4 linked regions of the Pelodiscus sinensis genome follow. The protein of the gene in region 2 purifies or fractionates together with the protein of the main gene of each other region. This does not show direct contact. Links are inferred from orthologs where the notes say so. Each region holds a gene or a part of one and is shown on either strand. Other genes may lie near its edges. The genes, in order: TMPO, CANX, ITGB1 and GXYLT1.

Region 1 (6,993 bases), on a different chromosome or scaffold from region 2:
CAAGCCCTTATCCCAGTCTCTTTCCTCAGTCTCTCCCACCCAATACCCTGGCTCTTTGCGGAACTCTAACCTCCATCCCAATGGTTTCCCAGTCCCAATCTTTTCTCAAATCTTCCAGGTTGTCTCAGGCAACCTATTCCCACTCCCAGCTCTTGAGTAGGCCTGTGTCTGGTCCTCGTTTTATTAGAATCACACAAATTTTCCTACCAAACCACCTGAGCCTAGAAATTAGGGGAGGCTCACTGAGAACACAGAAGACCACCTCCTCTTAGCCTGAGGCAGCCAGCCAGCATGAAAAAGTGCAGCAGAGTTATAAGCAAATGACAAAAGGGTAGTATAATGGGTAATGCTGAACCTTAACAGGTAGGTGGTGCTTCTATACCTGTCAGAAATAAAAAAGTCCTTACCATGAACACCAAGATTAATTTGAAACAAGCAGCAACAGTATGAGGGAAAAGGGTTGTGGAGGAAGGCATGTATATGAGATCACTGAAAAATTAGCTATATTCACAATTTGATATTTTAATTCCTTTGCACATTAAAAAAAGTAACTGTAGCTCAAACCAGCCACTATTACTTAACAGTTCTCTTTTTTTCTACATTTAAGTTTGTTGCCTTTCACCTTTAGGTACACCTGACTCATCGTACACAAATCTAAACCCTTGAGAGCAACTCCTGAATCAGTAGCATTTGTACAGATCCAGGAACTCACTATGTTAACTAAAACTGAAAACTTGTAGGGAAGTTTGAACATGGGAGTACAGCAGAGAAGGCTTCTATGTAGTCTGCCCCTCACAGATACACAGAGCTCAAGTTATTGAACAGATATTGGGACTATATTCTGCAAATTTTAGTAAAGCTGAATGGACCCAAGATGCTAATTTTTAAGCAATATTATTAAATTACAACAATTTATTTTGGATTTCAAATTACAATGATTTATATCTAAACAAGTAGTATTTCAGTCATCACCATGATGAACCCGCAACAGCAGGATACTATTTCAGTGTTCCTTATAAGCTGTGCAGGCATTCAGGAGATTCAAATGCACTTCATCTGATTAGCAGAGCACCCACAGCTATTGCTTAAATAGCTCTTCACTCCATCACAAGGAAAGATTAGCATGCTTTACCAGTTACTAAGCACTTAAGTATCAATGCCACAAGATATGGCTTAGTCACTTTATATAAAATATGCAAGTGCTAGTATCACTGTTCTAAAACATACAATAGACTTATCCAGTCTCAAGAGAGACACATGGATGCTCACTGGACTAAACAAACCTTGTTTGGGGCTAACTTGAACAAGTAGAATAGTTTCACATCTAGCTTACTGAAAAAACCATAACCTTAGTGATGGCATACACTGGAGCTTAATTATCTTCTTGATATTTCCCTTGTCTTCTGCCAACTGTCTGATTATTTGTTAACTCACATTAAATCATGTCAGATACTGCATTTATGCTTCTTGGAAGCAGGAACACATGTAACTGTAGGCAAGTGGGCAACTCTATAGGGGAGAGTAAGTAAGTTTAGATCACAAAGACAATCCTGTGGATAGAAGCCTGGGATCTCTTCCTTTAATGAAGTTTAAGTTTCTGGACTTTCAGACATGGGAAAGCTGGTCTAAAACTTGGTCTTTCTTTATAAAATATTTTACACACAAACAGCAACACCTCTCTCCAATCCGAGTTACAACGTAAGAACCTAACATGCTACAAACACAATCGTTGCAGTTACCATATTATTTTATTTTGCATACTATAAATAAGCATCCACTAAAGAACTTCCCGCCCAGCAACTTCATTACTAAAGTGTACAGAAGCAGGAACAAGACCTGTCTTCCAGCAAAGCCGAACATTACACCCGCAGATATCCTAGCGCTAGCGGTCGGCATTCAGCGAGCTCCTGAGCCTCACACGACAAAGTACGCCCTAGCTTGAAGTAAAGAAAGGAAATCCCTCCGGCAAACTGCCCCTCTCCTTGAGCACAGGCAGGGAACAGCCCCGGCTGCCGCCGCAGCGCACCCCGCACGCTGGAGACCCTCGGGGAAGAGGTCTGTACCGAGAAGCTCATACCGGCCACTGAGAGCCGCTCTTGGCTCGCGGGGGCCGCAGGCGCCGAAAACTCTGGGCTGCGAGGAAGGCACCGCGCTCTCCCCTAACCCTAGTTCAAGCTCCGCAGACAGGCCGCGGCCGCCAGGGCGCGCCCCGCACCTCGGAGAGCGGGAAGCGGCGCACGCCGCCAGCAGCCCGCTCCCCAGGGGCGGGTCTACATGCGCGGGAAGGGTAAAGGGGCGGGAGCGCGGGCGGCAGGCAGGGGCCGCCAGAGCCCTTTGTGTGGCAGCGCTAAGCTCTCCGAGCGGCAGGGGGGGGCGGACTCTTACCCGGCCGGGGGTGCCGCCTCCTCCTCTGCCCCTGGGACCGAGCGGGGTGGGCTCCCTCTCCTCGTCGCTGGAGAAGTCGGGCGCGGCGGGCGCGTTGCGGGCGGTGAGGTGCTGCAGGTAGAGCTGCACGTACACGTCCTTGCGCTGCTCGCCGCCCGGCAGGCTCACATTGTTGGCGATCAGCTCGCTCTTCAGCTTCTCCTTGGTCAGCACCGACGGGTCCGCCAGGAACTCGGGCATCGCCGGCCTCTGCCGCTCTCCCGGGACAGACACCAACAAAGGGGGGAGGGGATGGGAAATCGCCTCCCCTGCCCAGCGCGATGAACCCCACTCGCGGCGCGCTCGGCGAGGGCTTCGCCCGACCTCCAGTAAAGCGCGTCCGGATTGGCCGGGCGACTCACGAAGTGGTGCTGCTATTGGCTGCGGGGGCGAGTGGGGGAGCGGCGCGAGGGTTTCACCAACATTAGTGCTTTGCGCGAGGAGTAGTAACGCAGTTTAAATTCAGCTCAGGCGGGAGAGGGGCTGGCGTGCTGCTGCCTCCCGCCCCCCGCCGGCGAGCACGGCACAAGCTCCCCCTCCCGCCTCTGACGTCTCCTCATTGGCGCCACATGAGCCCTCCCCGCCCAGAGGAGGTCGAGGCCTTTGCTGCTGGAGAAGGGCCGGGGCGACACCGCTGCCTGGGGAGGAAGTGCCCGACTCCCCTCCAGCCGCGCTCTGGCAGGGGCACCGCGGGGTTTGCTGCCCGCTGTTTCAGGGAGACGTGTCAGAGCTTCCTGGAGCCCGGCGCGAAGGCTCCATTGGTGGCGTGGGGACGGTTCCAGCGGCGGCCAGCCCCAGAGGCGTGATCGGAGCACCGCGTGTCCCATGGTTGTCACAACAGGCACGTTCAGTGGGAGGCTTGGGGATGTGCCTCCTCCTCGCACGCGGACCTGGCCTTCCCCAGCCTTGACCTGGGCACTGACCGGGCGGAGGAAATGGACTCCAGCCAAGAAGTTGCTTTTGCTATTAAAAGCTGCGAGTGCTACATAAAAATGAAATAAATCGCTTTACTGTATTGCAGTTTTTAAAGGGACGTTGCATTGCCCTTGAGTGCCGATGCCACAGCTTCTTCAGGAGTGAAGGAACGTGCCTATGAGGAACAGATTGCAGAACTAAACTAAGTGTTTGGGCAACACAGTGGCAAACGAAATTTAATGTTGATAAATGTAAAATAATGTGCATTAGAAAAATAGTCCGAGCTATACATACAAAATGATGGGGACTAATTTAGTTATAACTACTCCAGAGGGAGACCTTGGAGTCATTGTGGCTAGTTCTCTGAACATATCCACTCAATGTGCAGAAGCAGTCAAAAAAGCAAACAAAATCTTAGGAATCAATAAAAAGTGATAGAGAATAAAACAGAATAGCTTATTGCCTCTGTATAAAACTATGGCAAGCCCATATCTTGAATACTGTGTACAGAAGCGGTCGCCTCATTTAAAAAAAAATTGATAGTGGAAAAGGTTCAGAAATGGTTTGGAATGAGTCCCATATGAAGAAAGATTTAAAAGACTGGGGCTTTTCATTTTAGAAAAGAGGAGATTAAAGGGGGGATATGATAGAGGTCTATAATATAAATGATATGGAAGAAGTGAATAAGGAAACATTATTTACTTCTTCCCAAAACAGGAACTAGGGGTCACCAAATGAGATTAATCAGTAGCAGGTTTAAAACAAACAAAAGGAAGTTTTTCTTCATGCAACACACTGACAACCTGTGGAACTCCTTGCCAGAGGATATTGTGAAGACCAGGACGATAGAAGGGTTCAAAAAAGAACTGATAAATTCGTGGAAGTTAGGTCCATCAGTGGCTATTAGCCTAGATGGGTAGAAATGGTGTTTGTCAGAGGCTGGAAATGGATGTCAAGTGGAGGGGTCATTTGATGATTCCCTGTTCTGTTCACTCCTGGGGTATCTGGCATTGGTCACTGTTGGAAGACAGGATTCTGGGATATGTGGACCTTTGGTCTGACCCAGTATAGTCATTCTTATGTTCTTATGACTGAAACCATTGATTGTGCAAGGTCCTTGGGGCAATGAACTTGCTTTCTCACATTTGTAAAAGGTCCTATATATGGCTCTGGCACTAATAATGAAGTCAAATAGCCTGGAAATAAATAACCAATTTGTATTAATAGAATATTTTATGCATTTCTTAAAAAAACAAAGACAACTATTTTTATTTGAATCTAAATATTAGGGCTATCAAAGGATTTAAAATCACCATAGCAAGATATTAAACAGTTGTGATTAATCACAGTTTTAATCATACTGTTAAACATTAATGGAATACCAGTTTAAATTTATTATAAATATTTGGATGCTTTTCTACATTTTCTAATATTTTGATTTCATTAACAACACAAAATACAGAGTGTACATTGTTCACTTTATATTATTTTTATTGCAAATTTTTGCACGTTAAAAAGATAAATAATACCTTTCAATTTTCCTCTAAGTACTGTAGTGCAATCTTTTCGTCATCAAAGTACACCTATAAAGGTAGAATTTTTACTTTTAAAATAATTGGTTTCAATCAAAACCAAAACAATGTAAAACTTAGAGCTTACAAGTCCCTTCAGTTCTACTTCTTGTTCAGCCAATTGCTAAGTCAAACATCTGTTTAAGTTTAGAGGAGATAATGCTAATGCTTCTCATTTAAATGCTCTCAAGTTTTATGTTGTTTTATTTTTGAGCGCAGTTTAAAAAATTACAGTTATAAATTGCACTTTCACGATAAAGAGATTGGACTACAGTACTTTATAAAGTGAATTGAAAAATGTTCTTTCTTTTATCTTTTTTACGGTACAGATATTTTACTATATATTTAGAAATGAATCCGGAACCAAACTCTGCAACAAACCCTGTTGCCAGCTCTGTCTGCATATCTACTCAAGTGACACCATGACAGACCCTAATCATATCAGATTAATCTTGTCATCATCTACAACCCCCAACTTAAACCTGTCCAACACATTATCAATAAACTACAGCCTATACTGGAACAGGATACCATACTCCAAGAGGCTCTGGGAGACAGACCCATAGTCTCCTATAGACAACCACCTAACCTCAAGATGATTCTTACCAAGAATCAAGAACACATATTCCTGCGCATCCAGAAATATAATTTATGCTATCATGTGCCGAAAGTGTCAGTCTGCTATGTACATTGGACAAACATCTCAGACACTTCGCCAAAGGATTAATGCCCACAAAACAGATATCAGACAAGATCACAAAGAAATAACAGTTTCTTGCCATTTCAACCAGAAAGGACACTCTCTCAATGACTTAACCACCTGCATTCTGCTACAAAGACCTTTTACATCTGCACTTGAAAGGGAATCCTCTGAACTGTCATTCATGTTAAAATTCAACACTCTCCGGGAAGAAATGAACAAATGCTCAAACTATCTTACCCATTACCAAGATAGCTTCCCCAATTATCACCTCTAATACCATTAGTTCACAGACATCCCACTCTCCCCACCTCTAATATCATCAATTCACAGACACTTACCTTCCTTCCCCCCCTGTATCCCCCTCCTGTTCTGAAATGTGATTTGTCCTTTTCATATGTGTTCATTTTTTAATTGTATCCTTTGGTATATATGGTTGTGACTATTTTCTTCCACTATTTGATCTGAGGAAGTGGGTCCGGCCCACGAAAGCTCATCATCTAATAAACCATTTTGTTAGTCTTTAAAGTGCTACATTGTCCTGCATTTTGCTTCACCTAATCATATCAGCCACAGTATCAGGGGCTCCAGGGCTGGGGCCAGGGGAAAGTGGCCTCAGGGCTGTAGACAGCAGTGAGCACCGAAGTGCTACACTGTATCTACTCCATGAGGATGAGCATAACTACATTATTGCCCACTGGCTTTCACACGGGGAGTTACAGTGCAACACTTTGATGTGCATTGATGTTCATATCTCTATAGTCAGCTGCAGGTTTAGTGTAGGCATAGACATCATAGCATTGGTTTACACTCAGTTTACAATTTAAAGATTACCCCAACCATAGGCTCTCGAGGCTAAGTTATACCAGCATAGCTATATTAATGTAGCTACATTGGCATTACCTGCAGCATAGATGCAGCCTACACCAAAAGAATTCCCTCCCCCATATGTACAGAAACACCCAGTGAGGGTACCTATGTCAACAAAAACACAGACTTTTTACACCCCTGAGTAATCTTGTTATTTTTATCAGCTTTTTTAGTGTAGACTGTATGGTTAAACCACTGTAGTTATACTGGGGAGTCATCTCTGGTTTACACTTAACATTTAGATTGGCCTTTATACATCATTCAGTCAACTTAGTCTCCCATGTAGACACATCAAGACTAATAGAAAAATCCCTTTCTTGACATAGGTATTGTCAATTGGAGAGATGGAATACCTGTCTCAAAGGAAAAACTTATAGGCTGTTGTGGTGCCCTTTATTCTGGGATGAGTGGCTTTTTTGGTTAGCTTAAACTGCTTCCAAGGCAATATAGGCTAAGCTAGAAAAAAGCACTCATCTACCACAGTAAGAATGTTCACATGGGGAATTATACAAG
Region 2 (7,844 bases):
AAGATACAAGAATTCACTTAGTGGGAAAAGCATACTTAGCAGTCTTGCTGTCACTTTTGCAAACCAACTCAAATTTGTCTTGGGATCAAAAGCAACAGCCTTTCTTCCAGGTGGAGTTTTCCATTATGGTGCCAAGTTAAATGGATGAAGACAAGCACTGAAGAGACAGGAATATGAATGCCATAAATGCAGAATGGGCAGGAGAGGGAAGAAGGGGACAAAGTTAAGTTTATTTGGGAAAAAACTGAGTAAGTTACACTGAATTCTTAGGATCAGAAGCTGTTGGAAGGGAAATGTTTAAAAACTAACTGTAGGGATGGTGTCACATTAAAGACCCCCCTGATTAAATTAATCTGGCCAGCATCAAGTCTCTATGCCACAGGCTAAAAGCCCTGAGCCTTGGTGTGTTGCGCCGCGCCCCCCCCCCAGGCCAGGCTGTAATTGTCAGCACCACCACTTGCTCATGAAGCTTCAGGGGTGACACCTGCAGGCAAGGACAGCATGTGTGTTGTCTTCTTCCCCCGGCCCCCCGCCCCGCATGAGGGACCACAGGGAAATGCCAGCTATGGCCGCTTTGCAGCAGAGGTACAGGATCGGGGCAGGTGGGGAGCCTGCTTTAGCACCACAGTACTGTGAATGGGAGCTGCCTGAGGTAAGCTCCTACATCCCATCCCTTTGCCCCAGCTCTAAGCACCCTCTTGCACCCAAACGCTCTCTAAAAACCCACATCCTCACTCCTTGCCTGGAGCCCCCTCCTGCACACCAAACCCCTCAATCCCAGCCCAGAGCCTGCACCCCCACTCAGAGCCCTCACCCCCTCCTACATCCCAATTTTGAACTCCATTCTACACTTCAAAGTTCTCGTTTTGGCCCAACCCTCAACACCCTCCCTGACAGAGCTGAATATGGCCCACTATTGATGTTTTTCTGGAGGTCAATGGCCCCTGATAAGAAAAAAGGTTCCCAACGCCTGCCCTACTCCATTACTGTAGCATTTCAATTGTAAATGGTGTAGAGAAATTTCAGTGTATTTTAAACAACATTTCTATTGAGTCTAAGAAGTTTATACACAATAATTTTAGAATTAAGTGAAAGTACTTTGGGCTGAAGCCAGGTGATTTTATGGCTGGATTTTAATAGTATCTTTGAAAAGACCATTATGAGAGTTTTGCAAGTTAGAACTAACTGCAGACTGAACATAAATGCAAATATTTTATTGTTCTCGGTGGTTGTTATTCAAAGATGTATTATCCTATGCGTTGTCACCTCCCCAATTTCACTAGCGCACACTGATGTTACTATCATTCTGCCTATAAACCAGCCTTCAAGTTCTCTGGGGCACCACACCTAGAGCCAGACAACAATATTGCCAAATCAGGATAGGTAACTGATACACACACCTCTAGTCAAGAACACTCCTAAGCCTGATTTTCAAGTGCACACAAACTGCAAACCATTCTAGTGTGACTAGAATATTTTTATATTCTATATTTTTGCAAATATAAAACCATTTGCAAAAATTGTTGCAGCAACTAAAGAGCACTGCTAACAGAGATAAGTCAATTACCTTCCACATTTTAATGAATATTTACTACTACTACTACTACTATTGGATATTTGCCATGAAAAATTAATTCAGGCTCTATGCAGACATGATACTCGAAGGCAGTTGTCAACTCAGATAAAAGTTCCAAGAAGATGGCTGCTTACTCTGTAATTCAATCGCTGCATTTCTTGTTCAGTCCAGAGTACTCTCCCTTTACTTTCCCATTCAGAGCTATCTAAAAAGATTAGAGGTAGCAAGACAGAAAGCATCTACTTTAACTCAAGGTCTGTGTGATGCCAGACCACCACAATGAACAGCAGCAAGGGTTCCATTACATACTGCCTTGAAAAAGACACACAGCTTTAAAAAAAAAAAATAGAAGCTATGTTCAGGAGATATACATTTTAAATTGTATAAAGTGCTGCACTTTATAGGTCACCTTTGTTTTACATGCCTTTTACTAGGCATATTGTTTAATTTCCGTTTCCTCCTCCACACCTTATTTCTGTTTCCTCCTCCACTCTTATTTCTGTGGTCCGAACTCTTTCATTCCAGTAACTTCCACCCGTTTCCCTCCAGTCATACTGCTCCAGTCCTGATTGCATCTTTCACCCTCTGCAGAAACGCCCGGTCAGAAGAGCCATTTCTGAACACCCCGATTTTTGGCAAGGGCAGATCCAGTCCTAGTGACTTCACCTCCCCCGTACGCATATTAAAACCCCACCAGCTCGGCCTCCACCTCGCCTCCGCCCAAGCCCACAGTCTCTGCGCCGCATCGCACTGGGATGAGCACATGCCCCCGCAGCCCTCGGCCACGCGGGCCAGTGTCAGTCGCTCGCCCCACCCACGACAAGAAGCTACCAGAACGGGCTGCCTCGCCCGCCACTGGTCGAGCCCAGAGGGGGGAATGGAAGAGCCGCGGCACCCAGCCCTGCGCGCACCTTGGACGCGGCTGGCCACGCGCCGGCCTCCGTTCGCCCGTCCCGGGCTCCGCCGGCGGGTTCCCAGCCGGGACTGGCAACGGACACGCGGGGGCCGCACCGACCCCCCCCCCCCCCGGCTTCGCAAACCCGTTACAGGCCCAGCCCCGCCGCGTCCCACAGGGCTTCGCTCCCCCTCACGCCGAGCCCTGCCACGCCCCGCGCCTGCGAACTCCGCGCCCGCCACCCCAACCCCCGGCCCTTCGCGCCCTCGCCCCCCGCCAATGCCCCAGCATGCCCCGCGGGCAGAGCCTTCCCCGGCAGCCCGGGGGGGGGGGGAAGAGAAGCAGGCCCGGCCTTGCGATTCTACCGGGCGGGGGTTACCCCCACTCACCTCGCCACGCGCCCCCCGCAGCCGCCGTCCGCAGCCTCAACACCCCCGTCACGTGTCCTAGCCGGAGCGGCCGCCCGCGCGCGCGCCTGCCCTCCCGCCCGCCTATCTACCGCGCGCTAGCTCCGCCCCACTCCTACCTCCCCATTGATTGAGCCAGCAATCGACCTCCCGCGCCGGAGCGTATGTCGCATTCCCATTGGTCAATGGCGCCGCTTCTCCCGTCTTAAGCGACGCCCCTACGGCGCTGCCCTTCGTGGAGCGCGGTGATTGGCTGGCCGCTTGCGCAGGAAGTGTGCGCTGATTGGCTAACACGGGGAGGTGGGTGGAGCGTGAGAGAAGAAGAATCAGATTCCTGCAGGAGGAAGCGTTGGGTTTCTTAAAGGAGCGGTGCCTAGGTCCTGTCCTTGCTCCTGGGAGCAGTGTAGCCGCTAGGCCAGGATAGGGGCCAGTGCTGGGAAGGGGGAGCTGGCAGCAATGTTCCCTCTGTTCTGTCCATGTGCAGAATAATTGTATGTGCACTGAGGCACATGCAAATGTGCACCACCAGTAAAATCAAAACCCAGCTGTGAGTGCTCTGCTAAGAAGCCATAAGAGGCCAATGCTGGGAGGGGTGGTGGGAACTAGCAGAGGCTTTCTCTGCTGTGGCACTATCCATGAGTGCAGGGGGAGGGCGGCACTGACCCCTGAAGGGCTGACCAGCAACAGCTGCTGGAGCCCATACGCACACACTCCCCAGCAGGGCTGATGCGGGGAAAGCATAGTAAGGCAGTTCTTGCTGGTGCTGCTCTTGGGGAGTGGTGGGACTGCCCCTACACTCACTGGAAGTGGTGTGGCAGAAGGAAGAGATGGGGTGGGAGAGGAACAAGGGTGGGGAAGGGGTAGAGAGAGGCAGGGCTTGGGGCAGAGGAGGGTTGTTCCAGGCCTTCCTCAGGTTGTGGGGGGAGCATATGGCTGCTTTCCCCCCTGGAAACTACCTCACCAGTTGCTTCTGGGGGCTAGTGCTGGGGCAAGGGTTGAGAGGGCTGGAAGAGGTCAACATAGGAGGTGGGGCGGGACAGCTGGCAGAGATCTGCATAGGGGCTAGTGCTTAAGGCACAACCAAGGAACTGTTATCCCTCAGTCTGTTCCAGAGGTGGGCAATAATTTTTGATGGGGGGGGCCACTCCAAGATTTTGGTAAGTGGTCAAGAGCTGCACTTTTCTATGGAGGGCATGCCATGGTATGGCACAGAGATGGGAATAAATGGGAGCTCAGGGTAGGGGACTGGAGTGCAGCGAGGGTGCAGGGTGTGAGAGGGAGTTTGAGTGAAGTGTTACCTGGGGCAGGGGATTGAATGCAGAAGAGGACTCTGACCTGGGAGAGGGGTGCAGAAGGTTTGGGTACACTGGGGCAGGAGATTGGGGTACAAAGTAGGGGGTGCAGGGTCAGGAAGGGGGTATAGGTGTGTGATGGGCCGGACACAGCCCGCACTCTGGAGAGTGCGGCGGGGGCTGAGCTGCTGGCTGCAAGCCGCGTGGAAGCCGTGGCAGCCGATCATGGCCGGGGAGAGGGGCAGCCGAGCGCCGCCACGGCATCCCGCGTGGCACCCGTGGCAGGGCCCAACCTGGGGCAGAGGTTAGGAGGTAGCGGCAGACGGAGGGGAAAGTGGGGGGGTGGCTCGAGCCAGGGCCACCCCTGGCGGGACCCCGATCACCACCCCAGCCCTGAGGCCAGCCCCGGTAGCAACACAGGCCCTCCCAGAGGAGGGAGGAACCCCTGCCCGGGGCTGGACGCCTGTGGGGATTACGGCAGGGGGCAGAACCATGCTCCCAAGCGCAACATGGCGGCACCCTTGAAAAGGACGAGAGCAGAAGATGGAGGGGTGGCTCCAGCTTTGGGGACAGCCTGCAGAATCGGGGGAAACGGTTCATTCCTCCTCGGTGGCAAAAGCTGGAAAGTGGCCGGGCAAACCAGAACTCCGCGCAGAGATCATCGTGACCCGCCGGAAGGATAACTCTTGGGGTCCCCAAAGAGGGACCCAATAGTCGAGGGGGTGTTAGGAAGCAGCCCAGGGCACAGCGCTTCTGGTGCCTGTGGGCTGGAGAGCTTCGGGTGGAATCCCCATCAGCTGGGTAGGGACGGCCAAGCCCACCCTAAGGGCCCCGGGCTGGGACCCAGTGGAGAGGGAGGGCCCGGGTCCCCCTACACCTCCTCGATCCACTCATCCATCCACAAGCCTAATCTGATGGAGAAAGTTCTTACAGGGAGGGCCAGAGTCCCCACAGGGTTGGCGGGCCCACAGGGCCCTGCCCTCAGACTTGGGGCAGAGGCTCGCACCCATATAGCCGACCCGGGGAGGTTAAGACAGACAGAGGGAGGGCTCGCTGGGCCCTGCCCTCAGCGGCGGCAGCTTACGCTCCAAAACCCCGTCACACGGTGCAAGAGAGGATTCTAGACTGGAGAGAAGCATAGGAGGGCACGTGAGTCTGGGAGGGAGTTGTGACCTGGGGTAGGGGTACCAGAGGGGTGCCAAGGATTTGGGTGGTTACCTGGGGCAGAGAGTTGGGGTATGGGAGGGGGTGGGATGCCAAATGAAGGTTCTGGCTGGTAGGCAGTGCTTTGTCAGCTGCCCAGTGGGACTCAGGCAACCCCAGACTGCTCAAAGTGGCTGGCTGCTTGGGGCCATGTTCCTCTGCACTGTGCTGCGGGGCGGGGACGGGACAGGGACTTCACATGCTGCCCTTACCCCCAGCACAATCTCAGCCAATGGGAGTTGTGATGATTGGGCTGGGGGTGGGGGCAGCGCACAAAGTTTCCCCCACTTCTGCAAGGGGTACACAGTGCCTAGACGCACAAGGCCTCAGCAGCTGGCTGCTTTGAGTGGCCTGAGGCTGTGGCAAACAGGCTGTATTTTGCCTGCTGCTAGTCTTTTTCTTCAGCCTAAGTCTGCCAATCTGTAACTGCAAGACAGTTACAGCAATTTGATAACACACCTCTCAACACACTTGCACATCCTTCCCTTTCATCCTGAGCACTGTACGTTACCCAAAACCCACTCCTCAAAACATAGAGCTGTGACCAACTGAGAGCAAGCCTAAAAAGAGGACATGCAGGATCTAGGCAGGCCTTCCATTCTCTAGTCATCTGAAGAAGTGGGCTGTGCCCACGAAAACTCATGATATCATCTATGTGTTTTATTAGTCTTTAAAGTGCTACCAGACTATTTGTTGTGTTTTAAGTTTTTCCTGTTACAGCCTAACTTGGCTAACCCTCTGAAAGTTTTAAGCCAGACAGTCCAGGGCTACATCTACATTGGCATGATCTTGCGCAAATACTCTTTAATGGAAGAGTTCTTGCGTTAAAGTATTTGCACAAGAGAGCATCTACACTGGCATGTGCCTTTGTGCAAGAGATTTGCTTTTGCGCAAGAGCATCCGTGCCAGTGTAGATGCTCTCTTGTGCAAGAAAGCTCTGATGGCCATTTTAACCATCGGGCTTTCTTGCGCAAGAAATTCATGTTGCCTGTCTACACTGGCCTCTTGCACAAGAACAGTTGTGGAAAAGGGCTTATTCCTGAGCGGGAGCATCATAGTTCTTGCGCAAGAAGCACTGATTTCACATATTAGAACATCAGTGTTCTTGCACAAGAACTCCCCGTCAGTGTAGACAGGCAGCATGTTTTTGTGCAAAAGCGGCTGCTTTGGCGCAAGATAGCGCCAATGTAGACACAGCCCTGGTGTCACTACTGACGGGGCATGCAGTAGGAGCTAGTTGTCCTTGAGAGGCCATTCTGGCAGGTGGCAGGCCCACACCATGCAAGAAGTACTCTGGAGATCTGTCAATGGCCATCCTAGCACTACATCTGAGGCCTTGGGGTGTGATTTTTTTTAAATGACATTTTTATACCTGCATACCTGGTCTCCACATATATTACTGTGCTGCTCACCACTTAGGACTTCACTGCAACAGTCAGGACAGAATTCCCACTCTTTTGTTCCACAAATACAAACTAAAAGAAGACTCTCCAATAGCAGAACACCGTTTTGTGATTCATTGTTGGGCTCTTCCAATTCTATCCAGTAGATGGCAGTTATGCACATACACAGCCCAGTTTATTATGCGTGCCACTGAGACAATACTGATGTAAAATTCTGATAACGTTTTCTATATCATGCAGAAAAATCTAAGCTATGCTGCATTCATTTCTCTGAAACAAGATATAGCACCGTAGATGTAAAATGTTATGTAAATGATAAGTATGTTGCAAACATGAGCTTCATAATTTTCCTACCAATGTTGTGAAGTGGGGAAAGTACTGTTCCCCATTGTTTAGAATAGGAAACTGAGACACTGAGAGGAGGAGCAGTATTTGTAAGATCACACAAGAAATTACTGGCACAGCAAGGATGAAAACGAAGGAGTCTCTTGCTCCTATTCCCTCTGCATAGCTTACAAAAAGGTCAGTGTAGGCTAGCAGTAAATAGGGATCAAAAATTAGGGAAAGTTGAGACAGACTGCTAGCACCATTAACCATAACTTCTAGATAGATACCACTTGAGTGGCCTGTTCTAACAAAGGATGGGTGCTGTGCTAGTAGTGTCTGAATGTATTGCCCAGGTCAGGGTATAACAGGATTTTTTTTTGTTAATGTAAAACTGTTTTGGGTATACTGAAAAGCAGCACACACCAGAGTTTTGGCTGAGTTGGTGTTTAAGCAAGCACAGGTTACTGAGATCCACCCAAAGAATGCCAAGACGGGTGATGAAAGCGAGAGAGATGACAGACACCACAGGGAAAACACAGCTCCATGACAGGAGGTCATTGTTGGTGTTTTAAAATACATACATCAGAAAGTTTACCTGTAGTCACTGGTTAACTGCAGTCTAAAGGAAACCATTCCTGGTTTTTTAAAATAAATTTTAAGGAGGGCAACACCACAAATGTGGTGTGAGGGGAGATGACCACAACTAAGGGTGAGTCAGAGAGCCCAGAATCTTCTTGTAAA
Region 3 (7,284 bases), on a different chromosome or scaffold from region 2:
TTATCTTCTATTTGCTCAATAACATGTGGAATTTCAAGTACTCATCAGAAATTAGGATTTGTCTTATAGGACCCATTCCTGCTAGATGATGAACATTGTAAAACCAACAGGAGTTGAGAATGGCCACCTTATCATAGGAAGGTGCTACACACCATGGGAAACCAGGATTATAGCGAACAAAGCCTTGTAAATATGTTGTCAACTCTAGTTCTCCAACTAGGCACCAAGTATTTATTGACTCACTCCACTCAGATCCTTGTCCTAGGCTGGAAGCCTAACTCTGATGTAAACCGACAACTCCATAATGGCCACATTTTATGATGTTGACTAGCTGCCTGGCTAAATTCACTTACCTACTCTCAGGCTACATCTATACTGCAGCCTGCTTCCACAAAAGCTTATGCAAATGAAGCACAGAGTAGAATATCACTGCACTTCATTTGCATAATTAATTAGCAGCAGTTTGTGCGCAAGAGGCTTTAGTGCAAAAAATGAGGAAGAACGGCTCTTGCACAAGAGGGTGTTTTTGCGCAAAAAGGTGCCGTCTACACAGCTCCTTTTTGTGCAAAAGTCTCTTGCACAAAAAAGACTGCTAATTGCTTATGCAAATGAAGCATGGTGATATTCTACTCCACACTTCATTTGCATAAGCTGTTGTGGAAGAAGGCTGCAGTATAGACGAAGCCCCCAAGAAGTGTTATCATTAGAGAAGAGAAGAAACAAAAAGAGGCTCTGATCAAAAGTATTACTGCAACTCTCTAGCATCATCACTTCCTGGACAAAGTGACCATGCTTTCTAATAATAATTTCTGCCTAGCATCTTCTTCATTCTTATCCTCTAGGACACATTACTCCCTTCCTGTTGGAGATATCCAGTGTTTTCCTTCTGAAAACTCTTCTGTGTTCTAGGAATGTTAAGGACTAGTTGACTAGTCCACTATCCGATAAGCAAATGTCCAATAAGCGGCAGCACTGCATAGCTGATCCGAGGGTCCATGGGGTGCTGCCCCTTTGAAATATTGCAGCATTTCAAAGTGGTGGCACTGCCTCTTTGAAAAACCACGGTGTTTCAAAGGCGAGCACCGCACGGAGCCCAGGATCAGCTGTGTAGTGCTGCCCCTTTGAAATGATGCAGCAGAGTTTCAAAGGGGCAGCGCTGCCCTGTCAACTAATCAAATAGTTCATGCAAAAATGCATCAACTATTCAATTCGTGAATTACTCGATACTTAACATCCTTACTATGTTCCCGCTACAAAAGTACAGAATCGAGGCACATAGTAACAATAGACAAGATACCCTGGATAACTCTGCTCTCAGTGAAAGAACTGGAAAATAAAAGTGCTGATACTACAGAGACAGTGTGATCCAGTGGATAGAGCACTGGACTGACTTTCAAGAGACCTGGCTCTGTTACTGACCTGCAAAGTGATATCAAGAAAGTTACTTGGATTCTCTCCTTCCTCTTTCACTTTTTGGCTTGTTGATTTAGACTCTAAACCCTTCAGAGCAGAAACGGTGTCTTTCTTTTGTACAGTATCTAGCACAAGGAGGTTCTGATTTCTATTAGAACCACTAGCTGCTACTTTAATATAAATAATAATTATTAATACTTATATAGTACTTTACAACATCAAAGCAATTTGCAAAGACTAAATAACTATTCCTCAGTAGGCAAACAAGTATAATTATTCCATTTTACTGGTGAAATTGAGACAAAAAGGGTATGTCTACACAGCAAAGAAAAAAAACCACACCGTGTGAAAAGGTCCTAGAGCTGAGGCTCCAACCCAAGCTCAGAAGTCTAAACACCAATGAAACAGCCTTATAACCCAAACTCCCTGAGCCAGGTCAGCTGGCATGGAACTGTTGTGAGTTTTTCTTGTTTGTGTAGACATACCCAAAGAGATCAGAGGTTCTCAAACTGTGTTTCATGGAGCACTGACAGTCAATAGAGCACTTGCTGGTGGTCCACAGAGCTGGCTCTTCCTTTTTACTGCCAACCCTTAAACTGCATTTAAGAATAGCTTTAAAAACATGAAACACTTTTCTAAAATTACTCTTCATGTAAGCAATTACTGTAGTTGCCACATGAGTGTTATGCAGTGAAACACAGAAGGAAATGGTCTGCACAGCCATTAGTGGGAGCATGGAACAGTTTCTGTATTAAAATGTAGTCCATGAATGAAATTTTCAGAACCCCATAGATAAGAACCAGTGGTTAGATGAATTCATCTATCTCTAATGGTTAACTAAACCAAATGTGCCTAAGAAACCCAATACAGGCAGTGCCCGGGTTACGTACAAAATAGGGTCTGTAGGTTTGTTCTTAAGTTGAATCTGTATGTAAGTCGGAACTGGCATCCAGATTCAGCCGCTGCTGAAACTGATCAGTTTCAACAGCGGCTGAATCTGGACACCAGTTCCGACTTACATACAGATTCAACTTAAGAACCCCAGGCGTCCCCAAGTCAGCTGCTGCTGAAACTGATCAGCAGCTGATTCCAGGAAGCCCAGGGCAGAGCAACTCTGCCTCCGGCTTCCTGTAGTCAGCCACTGGTCAGTTTCAGCAGCGGCTGACTTGGGGACGCCTGGGCAGAGCAGCTCGGGTGCTGCTCGGGAGCACGGCCGCTCCTCGGCGCTACTGGACCAACCCAGCAGCACCCCAGCTGCTCTGCCCCAAGCGTCCTGATTCAGCCGCTGCTGAAACTGATCAGCAGCGGCTGAATCAGGACTCCTGGGGCAGAGCAGCTGGGGTGCTGCCGGGTTGGTCCAGTTAAGCTAAGGAGCGGTGCTGCGGGACCAACCGGCAGTGCCCCACCTGCTCTACCACAGGCCCCGGGCTTCACTCCACGTCTCCCTGGTCTGCTGGGGGGGGCACTAGCTGCGTCCCCCCCCAGCAGACCAGGGAGATGCGGAGCAAAGCGGCGGAGGACCCGGGCCGGACCGTGGCACTTCCAGATCAGCTGGAAGCGCCGCGGGTCCAGCCCCGGGTCCTCCGCCGCTTTGCTCCCCGTCTCCCTGGTCTGCTGGCTCCCCCAGCAGACCAGGGAGACAGGGAGCAGCTTTTCTCGCCCCGGAGGAGGCGGGCAGCGGGACCAGGTGTCCCGCCGTTCCAGTCCTCCGGGGCGAGAAAATCTCCGTTCGTAACTGAGGATCCGACATAAGTTGGATCCACGTAACTGGGGGACTGCCTGTACACAAAAGATGCAGGCATGGCCTGAGGCGGGCTGCGGCAGCTGGCAGCCCAGGAGGAATGCGTGATCAGTGCCCCCGCCTGCATGGCTGTCAATGGAGTGACGTCATCATCAGGCTCCTCATTGAAGGAGGCACCCTAGGCGATGGCCAAGTCGGCCTATAGTCATGGGCCGCCACTGAAAAGATGTCACACATATTAGTGATGTTAAATTTTGATTAATCAGCTAATTGAGTAGTCTCCATCGACAACTTGTATTAGTCAATAAGGGGGGAGGGATAGCTCAGTGGTTTGAGCATTGGCCTGCTAAACCCAGGGTTGTGAGTTTAATCCTTGTGGAGGCCATTTGGGGCAAAAAATTTGTCAGGGATGGTGCTTGGTCCTGCTATGAAGGCAGGGGACTGGACTCAATGACCTTGCAAGGTCCCTTCCAGTTCTAGGAGATAGGCAATCTCCATTAATTTAATTTAGGGGTGAGTAAGATGCTCCCTATTCCCACTTGTGTCTTTTAAATGTAGTAAGGGGCCCACTGGGGCTCTGACTACATTTAAAAGTCAGAGGCACAGCAGGGAACCTGTAGTGAGCTGGGATTCAAGCAGTTTGGTGGGGGAGAAGAGCCCCTCTGGATGGTCTAGGCACCATGTCTGCAAACATGTCCCTCCCCCTGCTACCAGAGTCCCTTTTTAACCAGACTTTCCCTACTTTCCAACTAGGAAGGATAGACACTTTCTCTCTTAGCCACGGGTCTCATTCCATCACTTGGAACCAGGTGAGGAGGCCGCAAATAAGCCGCCGCCGCCGCCACACCAAACATCGCGCAACTGGCAATGAAAATCTGGCGCGTTGGCAGCCCACACTGCCGCAACCTGGCGGGGGGGAGTCCCTCACGCTTTGCCAGCAGCCCGGGCAGAGCGGTGCGAGGGCGAGCGGCGCTGCAGGGGCGGGATTGTCCCGGGAGGTAGGGGAGTTGGCCCAGTGCCCTGTTCCCAGCTCCGGGCCCTTCCCGCCCAGAGCCCACAGGGCACCGATCCCTCCCCCGGCCCTAGCTGCGCGCTCCCCCGCCCACTGGCGGGGCCTGACGGCAGCAGGGAGGAATGCGCTTCCGGAGGCGGAGGAGGAGCGGCGCGGCTGGGCCCGCACCCAATTCCCACCCCCTGCGGCCCGCACACAGGGCGCCCAGCGAGCTGGACGGAGGGAGCGGCGCCGGGCTCCGCGACACGCAGGGAACCGCGCCAGGGCTCCCGGGCATCCGTGGGGACAGACCTGAGCCAGCCGGGCTCCGAGCGCGCTTCTGCCGCCGCCTTCTCCCGCGGCCATGGCCAAGGTACGGGGCCGGGGGCCGCGCTCGCTGCGGGGGCGGGTTTCCGCCCGCTTGTGCCGCGGGCCAACATGCCCCCTTGTGCGAGGAGCCCGAGCTCCCGGGAGAGACGGGGGGGGGGCTGCCTGGGGCCCCCAGGTACGCGGGGCTGGGCCCCCTCCCGAGCGGGCTGGTGCAGGGCACCGGCCGCTGCTGCCCCGGCCCAGTCTGGGGGCTAATGTGTGCGGCGCCACCCGGCTCGGTGCTGGGTCTGGGCCGCGCGGGGAGCCAGTGCCGCCCACCTTCGGGAAGCGCCAGGGCTGGCTCCGGGTTCGCTGCAGGGCGGGGCTGCCCCTCACCGGGCCTGGCCCGTGTCAGCCTGGCCCAGGGCTCCCGGCCCTAAAGCCAGACAAGGACATGCCCTGGCCCTTTGTCCGCTGCCGCCCAGCCATTCAACTCCTTGGGGCTCGGCCGCAGGGCTTGCCCGTGCGGAGTGGCCGCTACATACCCCGTGGCACTTTCCATAAGGTTGGGCGCTTTGTCCCGGGCCTCCCTGAAAGGAGGGAGGGTGGGGGCTCATCTCCTCTGCTCCTGCCTTGTGAAGGGTGCTGTAAGCACCGCTGCTTCTCAGTGGCGTTTGTGAAATGCAGTGGGTGTCTTGAGACTGTGGAAGTTCAGTCTTAATCCTCGTTCACTCCAACAGTACTAGCTAACTTCTTAACACACTTGGATGTGTTCCTAAGGTGCAGTAGAAAAACAGTTAAAAGACAAGGTCTTTCCCTGTCCCGAAAAAGTTTTAGACAGGAAGGCAACAGGGAAGGAAGGCTTGAGCAAAGACCGAGCCACAGTAAAAAAAAAAAAAAAAAAATCACAGAGAGCCTCCTAGATCTGCAAATTCTATTATGTTAAAAAAAAAAAAAAAAAAAAAAAAAAAAAAAAAACTTGAGAGGGATTGCTATTTTGGATTTTGTGGTTTTCTTTAAGTACTTTGAGTAATGCCACTGACCAAGTGAATTCAGAAATATCTAGATTTAAATAAGCCTTTTGAAATCATGAGGCCGTGGTAATAAAGATATACTTTATATTTCCGCCCTACTGATGATTCACGCTCCTGTCACAAAAATTACTTACCTCAGGCAAATCATTAAGTAGCATTGTGTAATGCTCCTTAAAGCTATATATATAAAACTTGTGGAAATAGGGAACAACTAGTAATAAGTAAGTGAGATCAAATGAATTAAGGATAAAACAGTGTTAACTTTTGTCCTTTAAAATGTTTGAAATTAAATTAGGGCTGTGGAGCGATTAAAAAATTAATTGTGATTAATTGAGTTGTTAAACTAACAGAATACCATTCATTTAAATATTACATATTTCAAAAATATTGATTTCAATTAGAACATAATACAAAGTGCACAGTTCTCACTTTATATTTATTTTTTATTACAAATTCTTGGACTGTAAAAAAAAAAAAGTATTTTTCAATTAACCTAATATAAGTACTCAGGGGGTAGAGACTGTTACTTAAAAAACTAGTGGTCTTGTAGCATCTCAGTGACTAACAAATATATATTATGAGCTTTCGTGGGCTTTCTGAAGAAGTGGGTTGTGCCCACAAGACCTTCTCATGATAATATATTATTTTTGTTAGTCTCCAAGATGCTACAGGACTACTCATTTTTCATTTTTTAAAATACAAATACTGTAGTGCAGTCTCTTTATCAAGAAAATTAAACTTAAGTGTAGAATTGTGTACAAAAAACTGCATTCAAAAATAAAACAATGTAAAACTTTAGAATCTACTTGTTCAGCCAGTCATTCAAACAAACAAGTTTGGGTTATTTGCAGAAGATAATGTGGTTTGCTCTTGTTTACAAAATCACCTGAAAGTGAGAACAAATGTTTCCATGGCACTGTTGTAGCTAGCATCTCAAGATATTTACGTACTAGATGTGCTAAAGACTCATGTGTCCTTTCATGTATCAGCTGTCATTCCAAAGGACACGCATCAGTGACCATGATGGGTTCTATTAAATAGCAATTCAAAGCATCTGAGTCAGGTGCCACCAACAGAAGGTTGATTTTTTTTTTTTTTTTTTTTTTTTTGGTGGTGGTGGTTCAGTTGTTCCCTGTCGGAGTGTTGCTCTTTTAAGACTTCTGAAAGCAGGCTCTATATCTCATCCCTCTCAGATTTTGGATGGCATTTCAGATGCTTAAATCTTTGGTTGAGTGCTGTAGAAATCTCACATTGGTATCTTCTTTACATTTTGTCAAATTTGCTGTGAAAGTGTTCTTAAAGTGTGCTAGGTCAGCATTAGAGCCTTAGATAAAAAAATGTGGATCTTCATCCCCTTGGTGCAACTCCTCCCTAGCTCAGTGATTTTCAAACTGCAGTCCACAGACCGCTAGTGGTCCACAATCACCTTGCAAATGGGCCACAAGTCAAAACTCAGCCCCTTCCCCTGCAACAAGGAGTCTATGCTGGTGCTCCAGTCGTGCTCTTCCCGTATCCCCATGAGATTGGAATGCCAGCACCAGCTTCCTGTTGGGGGGAGGTAGAAAGCCCAGAGGTTTGCTGCTGGATCCGGCCTGTGAGTGGAGCAAGCAGCTCTGCATACTGCTGCTCCCCGTTCCTCTGGCTGGAGGAACAGTGGCACACAGACACACTGCCTGGAGGCTTTCCCCACTGCTCCCATTGGCCGAAATTGTGATACAGTAATTGGGAACAGTGGAAAGCATGCCTCGAATGCAGTGGCTGGGAGTGGCACCTGGGAGCAGCGTGGGGTTCAAAGC
Region 4 (7,630 bases), on a different chromosome or scaffold from region 2:
CATAAGAAATACAAACCTATGATGCAGTCATGTAGTATTCAGTAACATTAATTCCTTTACTAGAATAAATAAAGAGTCTGATTAGACTCTACTGTGCAAACAAACACTGCTGTTTGTTCAATTATTAGATATTTCAGAACATTTAAAATAGAAAGTACTTTCTTGGCACGAGTTATTTAAATAGTATTCAAATGGGACATTAAAGTGCAATCAAGTGAACTTTTCCTTAGAACCAAAAAAACCCCTGTCAATAATGAACCAAAGAGATATAGTGAACTTAAAAAAAAAAAAAACATTTTCTGCCTAAATGTTTTATCCAATATTGGAATGTTAGAATTAATACCATTATATATAATATCACCATGACATCATTTCAACCATAAATTCACTTAAAATTGCAGTGGTATTCACCATGCTGTACCAAGAATTCTTCTACGGAAGTACCTAAAGTACATCCTCATTTCCCTTACATCATTAAATTGCTCTAGGAAAGAACTCTATTGTGGCCCCAGAATATAGGTCACAACCTTCTTGGGGAACAAGTGGGATGCAGCATTTAGAGAAATTGCAATTAATGTCAATGATACTGCTTTGAAATCGTCACTATGTCAAAATTATTATTCATTTAATTAATACAGGTAGAACAAGACAATAATTTAACCATACATTTCTCAATTAAATAAAAAGATATGTAGCATTTTTATAATTGTTCTAAACCAGTGGTTCTCAAACTGTGGGTCTCTTGGGCTGGCTTAGAATTGCTGGGGTTCAAAAGCCAAGCCGAAGCCCCAGGCCTCAAAACCAAGGGCTTCAACCTAGATGTCAGGGCTAGGTTACACGCCCCTATCTGAGGCTGAAGCCCTTCAGCTTTGGCTTTCCGTCCACCCCCTCCCAATCTGGGGAAGTGGGACTCAGGCTTCAGTCCCACCTTCTGGGGTTGTGTAGTAATTTTTGTTGTCAGAAAGGGGTCATGGTGCAATGAAGTTTGAGAACCCCTGCTCTAAATGTCTAAATAATAAGCAACTACTTACTACATTGATACAGTAGCAAACATTCATAAGCATTTGTTCAGAATACTCATGAAAGGATCAGTCCTGGGATAATACTCTCATCCTGGTCTGCTCCAACATGATCATATAGGATCTGATAAATACCCGAAAAAGCCTTGCTCCTTTATACAGTTCTAAAAATAACTGATAACTTATTGAGCATTATTAGCTCAGCTAAAAGCAAACAAACCACATTTTGATCTGTTTGAGTACAACCCCTTTCTGGGCCTTGGCTAAAACAGGATATGGTGTCTGGGTCTCTCTCTTTCAAATTATCTATGTATGAATCCTAAAACCAGCTGCACCTGACGTTTTATCTTCTTACAAAGGTCCATATTTTATTATATCATTGGTGTGCAACAAGACATTATACATTTATCACATTAAAAATTACTTTGCTTAATCTGTTAGAACCAGTTTTTAAACAATCTTCTATAATTTGAGACCCTTTTCCCAGACACATTTTGTCTTATTGGTCACATGACAAACTTCCCCTGAAAACTTGTCTGACTAGATGCCACCTTTCTCCTATCTTATCAGAGTGCTATTTTTCAAGACCTTATTATATTTGTTTAAACCACCTACACAAACTACAAATCACATGTAATTTCCTAGCCAAACTAGATTAACCCCACCCCTTTCATCGTACACCCTGTTACAGAGGTTCAAAAGCTTTCTCCATCTGAGGCCCCCTAACATACAATAACTCCCTCCCCCCCAGCCCATGTATGCCACAACTGTTCTTCTATATAAAAGCCAAGGCCAGCATTAGAGGATAGCAATAGTGGAATTGTCTGGGGCCCCATGCCACACAGATCTCCAGGAAGCTAAGTTGCTAAAACTTCGGCTTCCACCCTGGATGGCAGGAATTTCTGCCCTGAACCCCAGCAAGTCTAATGCTGGCCATGCATGGAGGACCGCCGAAAACCTGCTCATGGCCCCCTAGAGGGGGTTTAAAACAACAGCCCTACAAGATTACTATAACTCATGGGTTCCCAAACTTCATTGCACCACAACTCCCTTCTAATGATACAATTATTTTACCACTCCAAGAGGAAGGATCAAAGCTCGACCCCGTCCATGCGGGGGAGGTGGCTGCAACCTGCGTTTGTGTTTCAGCTTCCCCCTGACTCCGCAAGCAACTAACACCAGCTGGGGCGACCCCATTAAAGTAGGGTCATGACGCATTTAGCGGCCCCAGCAGCCCACAGGCTGAGCCGCTGCTATAATGTGATGGAGAGAGGCGCCGCCTCCGGGATGTGACACCAGCTGGTACAGAGAGCGCGTCGCCATTGCTCCCGGGGGTCGGGGCAGAGCCAATGGGTCCGGTCCAGTCCCTCCAGACCTGGCTGCTGAGACCCCGGCTAAGTAGCGCTCCCGCTGCCAGGAGGAGACGCGAGCAGCCGCAGCGCGGCGGGACTGCTCCAGCTCCAGCCTGGCGGGGGCAGGGCCTGAAAAGTGCTTCGCAAACTTTCCTGCGGAAAAGCGACTCGCGCTGGCAGCTCCCCGCCGGCAGCAGAGCGCCGTGGATGCCGGGGCTGGAGCCGCCCAGCTCCGGGAAAGCCCCGGCGCGGGTCCGGTAACACCCCCCGGCGTAGGGAGGACGGGGCAGCCAGGCTGAGGGGACGGGGCCGATCCGTACCTGTCTGGCTGCTCCGGCTCCCCGCGGCCTGCGCTTCCCGCCGCTGCCCTCCCGCCGCCGCTGCCGCGCTGTCTGCGGACCGGAGCGGCGGAGTCTCGGGCCCGCGGCTTCCACGCGCCGGGCTCCTGCTCCAGGGCCAGCTGGCTGGAGCCGTAGAGCAGCGAGCACAAGCCGCAGCCCAGGCACAGCAGCGCCACGCGCACGTAGCGCCGCATCCCGCCCCGCCGGCAGGGCCCAAGCGCAGCCCCGCGCGGGGCTCAGACAGGCCCTCGCCGCGTTGAGGTAGCGGTAGCGTCCCCCGGGTGTGGGGCAGGCTTTCGCCGAGAGGGCGGGGCTGGGAGGAGCCAGGTGCCGGGGTGGGGCAAATGGGTGAGGCCAGGGCGCCCCATGGCGGTGCCTGCCACGGCGAGATGATGAGGCGTCCTGGAGGGGGCGACAGGCGGCTGCGGGGGTAGGGCCACCCCATTTAGCAGTTAAAATTTTGGCAGGGCCATGGGGCGCAGTGCACCTCCTGAGTGCTACCACGAGTCACCTATGCAAGGGGGACATTGGAAGAAAGGGCGCTGTGGTGGGGGCAGTAAGATGGGGGTGCAGGGCCATTCCTACTAGCACTGATCACCTATGCAGCCCAACTCTGGCTCCCACCTCCCCCCGAGCGAGTGGGCGGGAGGCACAAGCTGCAGGGGCAGGAGGCTGCCAACTTTCACAGACAAGCTGCTGTCTGCTGCAGTTGCACCCAGTGGCCCAGTTCCTGAAGAGTTGGCAACCCTAGAGCAGGATAGGAAGGGAGGCTCAGCTGCAGCTTCAGAGCAGCAGGCAAAAGGTACAAGCACGGGCTGGAGACCCACTAAATTTGGGGCAACTAGGCTGCTGCCTATGCCTAAGGACACTCCTGCAGGGGCACTAGCATGGTACTCAAGAGGTGCATCTCCGGACCCAATGCTGTGCACCCAAAAGCTTTGTTAATTTCTGCAGCATTAAAGAGTGACTGACCTCCACTCTAACAGGGTTGGCAGATAGTAGCCTATGCTTGCAACATACCAATTAAAACAAAGTTTCCCCTCTTCTCTCTCTGACTTGTAGATGAGGCTAGCAGAGATGAGCTGTCCTTTTGTGGGAGGGGAGAAAACATAACTTTCCTTAGGTGGTTGCTGTCATTGCTGCTATCTTGGTGAAGGGCTGATCCCCTTCCCTTTAAGCAAAAAGATCACAACTTTTGTCTTGGAAACTAGCTATTAGGAAATTCCAGATGCAACTCTCAATCTGAGCAGCCATTCAAACTACATTTTGTGTGTGTGTGGGGGGGGGGGGGGGGGGGAGTATGGACTTAACTCAGTGCAGTGTAAAATGTGACTGAAAACCAAGTATATTTTTAGTTTTTATATGAATTATCAGGACAAGGTAACCTTACGTGCTTTAATTCTACATGCTATTCTTTAATTCTACTTGCTAACACACGTTAAAACTACGAACTGCCTTGGTTTCTCTAGTCTAGTTTAGTCTATCACTCTAGCTGGGAATGGCCCATAGAATCATAGAATACTAGCACTGGAAGGGACCTTGAGAGGTCATCGAATCCAGTCCCCTGCCCTCATGGTAGGACCAAATACTGTCTAGACCATCCTTGATAGACATTTATCTAACCTACTCTTAAATATCTCCAGAGATGGAGATTCCACCACCTCCCTGGGCAATTTATTCCAGTGTTTAACCACCCTGACAGTTAGGAACTTTTTCCTAATGTCCAACCTAAACCTCCCTTGCTGCAGTTTAAGCCCATTGCTTCTTGTCCTATCCTCAGAGGCCAAGATGAACAAGTTTTCTCCCTCCTCCTTATAGATACCTGAAAAAGGCTATCATGTCCCCTCTCAATCTTCTCTTTTCTAAACTAAACAAACCCAATTCTTTCAGCCTTCCTTCATAGGTCATGTTCTCTATACCTTTAAACATTCTTGTTGCTCTTCTTTGGACCCTCTCCAATTTCTCCACATCCTTCTTGAAATGCGGTGCCCAGAACTGGACACAATACTCCAACTGAGGCCTAACTAGCGCAGAGTAGAGCAGAAGAATGACTTCTCGTGTCTTGCTAACAACACACCTGTTGATTCTGAGATGCATTATGTTTGCTTTTTTTGCAACAGCATCACACTGCTGACTCTCATTCAGCTTGTGGTCCACTAAAACCCCTAGATCCCCTTCTGCCATTCTCCTTCCTAGACAGTCGCTTCCCATTCTGTATGTGTGAAACTGATTGTTCCTTCCTAAGTGGAGCACTTTGCATTTGTCTTTATTAAACTTCATCCTGTTTACCTCAGACCATTTCTCCAATTTGTCCAGATCATTTTGAATTATGACCCTATCCTCCAGATTAGTTGCAACCCCTCCCAGCTTGGTATCATCTGCAAACTTAACAAGCGAACTTTCTGCCAATATCTAAATCGTTGATGAAGATATTGAACAGAGCCAGTCCCAAAACAGACCCCTGTGGAACCCCACTTGTTATACCTTTCCAGCAGGATTTTGAACCATTAATAACTACTCTCTGAGTACGGTTATCCAGCCAGTTATGCACCCACCTTATAGTAGCCCCATTTAAATTGTATTTGCCCAGTTTATTGATAAGAATATCATGCGAGACCGTATCAAATGCCTTACTAAAGTCTAGGTATACCACATCCACTGCTTCTCAGTGGGCTAGGAGAATGAGATCGTTGGTTTAAATTAAGCTTTATAATTGTCTCCATCCTGTGGAATTCCACCTTCCCGTCCCCTGGCCCCCTGCTAATTCCCTGGAATCCAGGCTTCAAAATCTGTGCTCCTTTTCAGTAAGTGATGGCTATCAGCATAGCCTATGTTGCCTTGGGGAAGCTCACATTGTGGCAGGGTTCAGTATGAGACATACTTTCCCCAGCTGCACCTGCAGGAGCTTCACCTTACACTTAATGGAGAAGACGAAGAAGTTGCAATTGGACCCATGCTGCGGACCCTCTCCATACTTCAGCCTGACTCAGCAAAGAGTGCCCTTCCTGGTGCATGGCCTCATTTAGGATCAGGGGAACTATGCCACATGCTCCTGTCACGGTCTAGGTGGGAGGACAGGGAAAGTTTTCATAAATCCTAGTCAAACCCGCCTCTAAATCCTCTTTTAAGGAAGTTGGATACAACCCTAACTAAGTTGAACAAGCCTTTCCACTCAGCCAAGGAGGACTTAAATTGTCCTTAATGTGTCAGGGTCATGACAAGGAAGTCCACAAATCCAGGGCTCCATTAGCACCATACCGTGCTGCAGTGGCAAGAGCATCTCTGGCACCTAAACTTTGAGAACTGATCATACCAGCAAAAGGCAAGCATTGAGCTCCTGAGCTACCAATCGTACTGGCTCTGACTCCCTTGATTATGGCACAAACCGTAACTGCTCAACCACTTCAGTATAGCCGGACAAGACATCTGGAACTTCAGGGAGAGCACTCTTATGTTCCACCTGAGAACCTTTATTTGCTCAGATCACAATCTCGGGGTACATCTTGCATATCTCCTTTTGAAAAAAGAATGTAGTCAAATGTGGTGCTAATTTGCATATCTTCTTCTGATCGCTTTTTCGAATGCATTTTTTTTGGAAGAGAAAGCAGTTTAGACAGGTTTTTTTTTTTTTAAAGAACCCCCCTTTTTCAAAAGAACCTTTCTTCTTAAAAAATGATGTATGGGGGGTTCTTCCGGAAAAAACAACTCAGTCTAAACTGCTTTCTCTTTTGAAAAAACTGCTTCCGAAAAAGCAATTGAAAGAAGATATGGAAATTAGTGCTGATTTTCATATCTCCTTTCGAAAGAAGAACTTAGTCTAGACGTATCCTCAATCACCATCAGGTCCTCCACTTACAAGAGAGGTCCTGACTCCACCACAAGATACAACTTAATGGGAAAGGTCTCTTTCCAGTGCTATCATTTAGCCTTAATTTCCCTCCAGTATAACTATCCGTACTGCCAATGACTCCAGAATTGGCATTTATTTTCTCAGGAAATTCTGAGATTAAGAAAATATCTCTAATCGCCAAATAAAACTTCTCATTTGAATAAACAGTTCACTGTTGTAGACTTAAAACTATTAACCTATACATATTTTCATTTAATAATTAGACCACACCATTGACAGGGGATACATTCAACTTCATTCTTTTCTCGTTTTTGTTTTTTTAAACTTCTGAGAACTTATGTTCTGAAATGTGTTCTGATGCAGATTTATGTTTTTTTGCCATTTTAATGTGTCAGTATCAATTTAATTCAGTTCCTTTGAAATACTGTTGCCACACATCTTTATATTGCTGATCCTATAAGTTCTTTATTATCAATATTAAACATGTACATACACAGTCCCTGCTTATGGTCATTTATATAAGTAAAGTAGAAAAATAAGAGACAAAATGAAATATAAAGAAGGAATAAGATATGATATTTTGCAATTTAATCTTAACAGAGGTGTAAAAAATTTAAAAAAAGTTCTGAGATAGGGATGAGGGAAGGATCCCGTACCACAGGATAGGAAGTCAGCTGAGGAAAGCAAGACTAAAGAATTGGGTTTTCAGGAGGAATTTGAAGGAGGATGCTTGACCACATGAAAGGGACACTGCTTCATGAAGGTTGATATGTTTATTCAGCACATCAGTGACATCCTTCAGTTTCTACCTGCTTATCCCCTGCCTGCAACAAATCCCAGGAAAATTTTTATACTGTAGATTACACCAAAAGTCATAGAACGTAAGTATTCCTTCTTTTGAAAAACTCTTTAAGTAGTATGCACACTTGGCAGCAATGACACACATGTGTGAAAAAAATGTTGCTGCTATGCAGACTTAACTGAATTTCCTTCAGTCATAGTTTAATTTCTTAAAAACAAAATTATATAGAGTGAAGTGATACTAATATATGGGATAAACTGTTAATA

Evidence for each region.
Region 1: the proteins of CANX (region 2) and TMPO purify together in Homo sapiens (affinity purification with mass spectrometry; 3 studies listed by BioGRID and IntAct, with this or other methods). This does not show direct contact. The link is inferred for Pelodiscus sinensis from reciprocal best matches to the Homo sapiens genes CANX and TMPO.
Region 3: the proteins of CANX (region 2) and ITGB1 purify together in Homo sapiens (affinity purification with mass spectrometry; 3 studies listed by BioGRID and IntAct, with this or other methods). This does not show direct contact. The link is inferred for Pelodiscus sinensis from reciprocal best matches to the Homo sapiens genes CANX and ITGB1.
Region 4: the proteins of CANX (region 2) and GXYLT1 purify together in Homo sapiens (affinity purification with mass spectrometry; 3 studies listed by BioGRID and IntAct, counting the BioPlex papers as one, with this or other methods). This does not show direct contact. The link is inferred for Pelodiscus sinensis from reciprocal best matches to the Homo sapiens genes CANX and GXYLT1.

Annotation. Positions count from the first base shown.
Region 1 is NC_134711.1:83,219,011-83,226,003, reverse strand, and holds the start of TMPO (thymopoietin), read right to left. Parts: upstream 3,019-6,993; 5' UTR 2,626-3,018; coding exon 2,386-2,625; intron 1-2,385. UniProt on the Homo sapiens protein: May help direct the assembly of the nuclear lamina and thereby help maintain the structural organization of the nuclear envelope. Possible receptor for attachment of lamin filaments to the inner nuclear membrane.
Region 2 is NC_134727.1:34,174,731-34,182,574, reverse strand, and holds the start of CANX (calnexin), read right to left. Parts: upstream 3,002-7,844; 5' UTR 2,861-3,001; intron 2,647-2,860; exon of another isoform or gene 2,488-2,646; intron 2,070-2,487; exon of another isoform or gene 2,045-2,069; intron 1-2,044. UniProt on the Homo sapiens protein: Calcium-binding protein that interacts with newly synthesized monoglucosylated glycoproteins in the endoplasmic reticulum. It may act in assisting protein assembly and/or in the retention within the ER of unassembled protein subunits.
Region 3 is NC_134712.1:230,380,020-230,387,303, reverse strand, and holds the start of ITGB1 (integrin beta-1), read left to right. Parts: upstream 1-4,282; 5' UTR 4,283-4,509; coding exon 4,510-4,518; intron 4,519-7,284.
Region 4 is NC_134711.1:53,283,489-53,291,118, forward strand, and holds the start of GXYLT1 (glucoside xylosyltransferase 1), read right to left. Parts: upstream 3,020-7,630; 5' UTR 2,907-3,019; coding exon 2,692-2,906; intron 1-2,691. UniProt on the Homo sapiens protein: Glycosyltransferase which elongates the O-linked glucose attached to EGF-like repeats in the extracellular domain of Notch proteins by catalyzing the addition of xylose.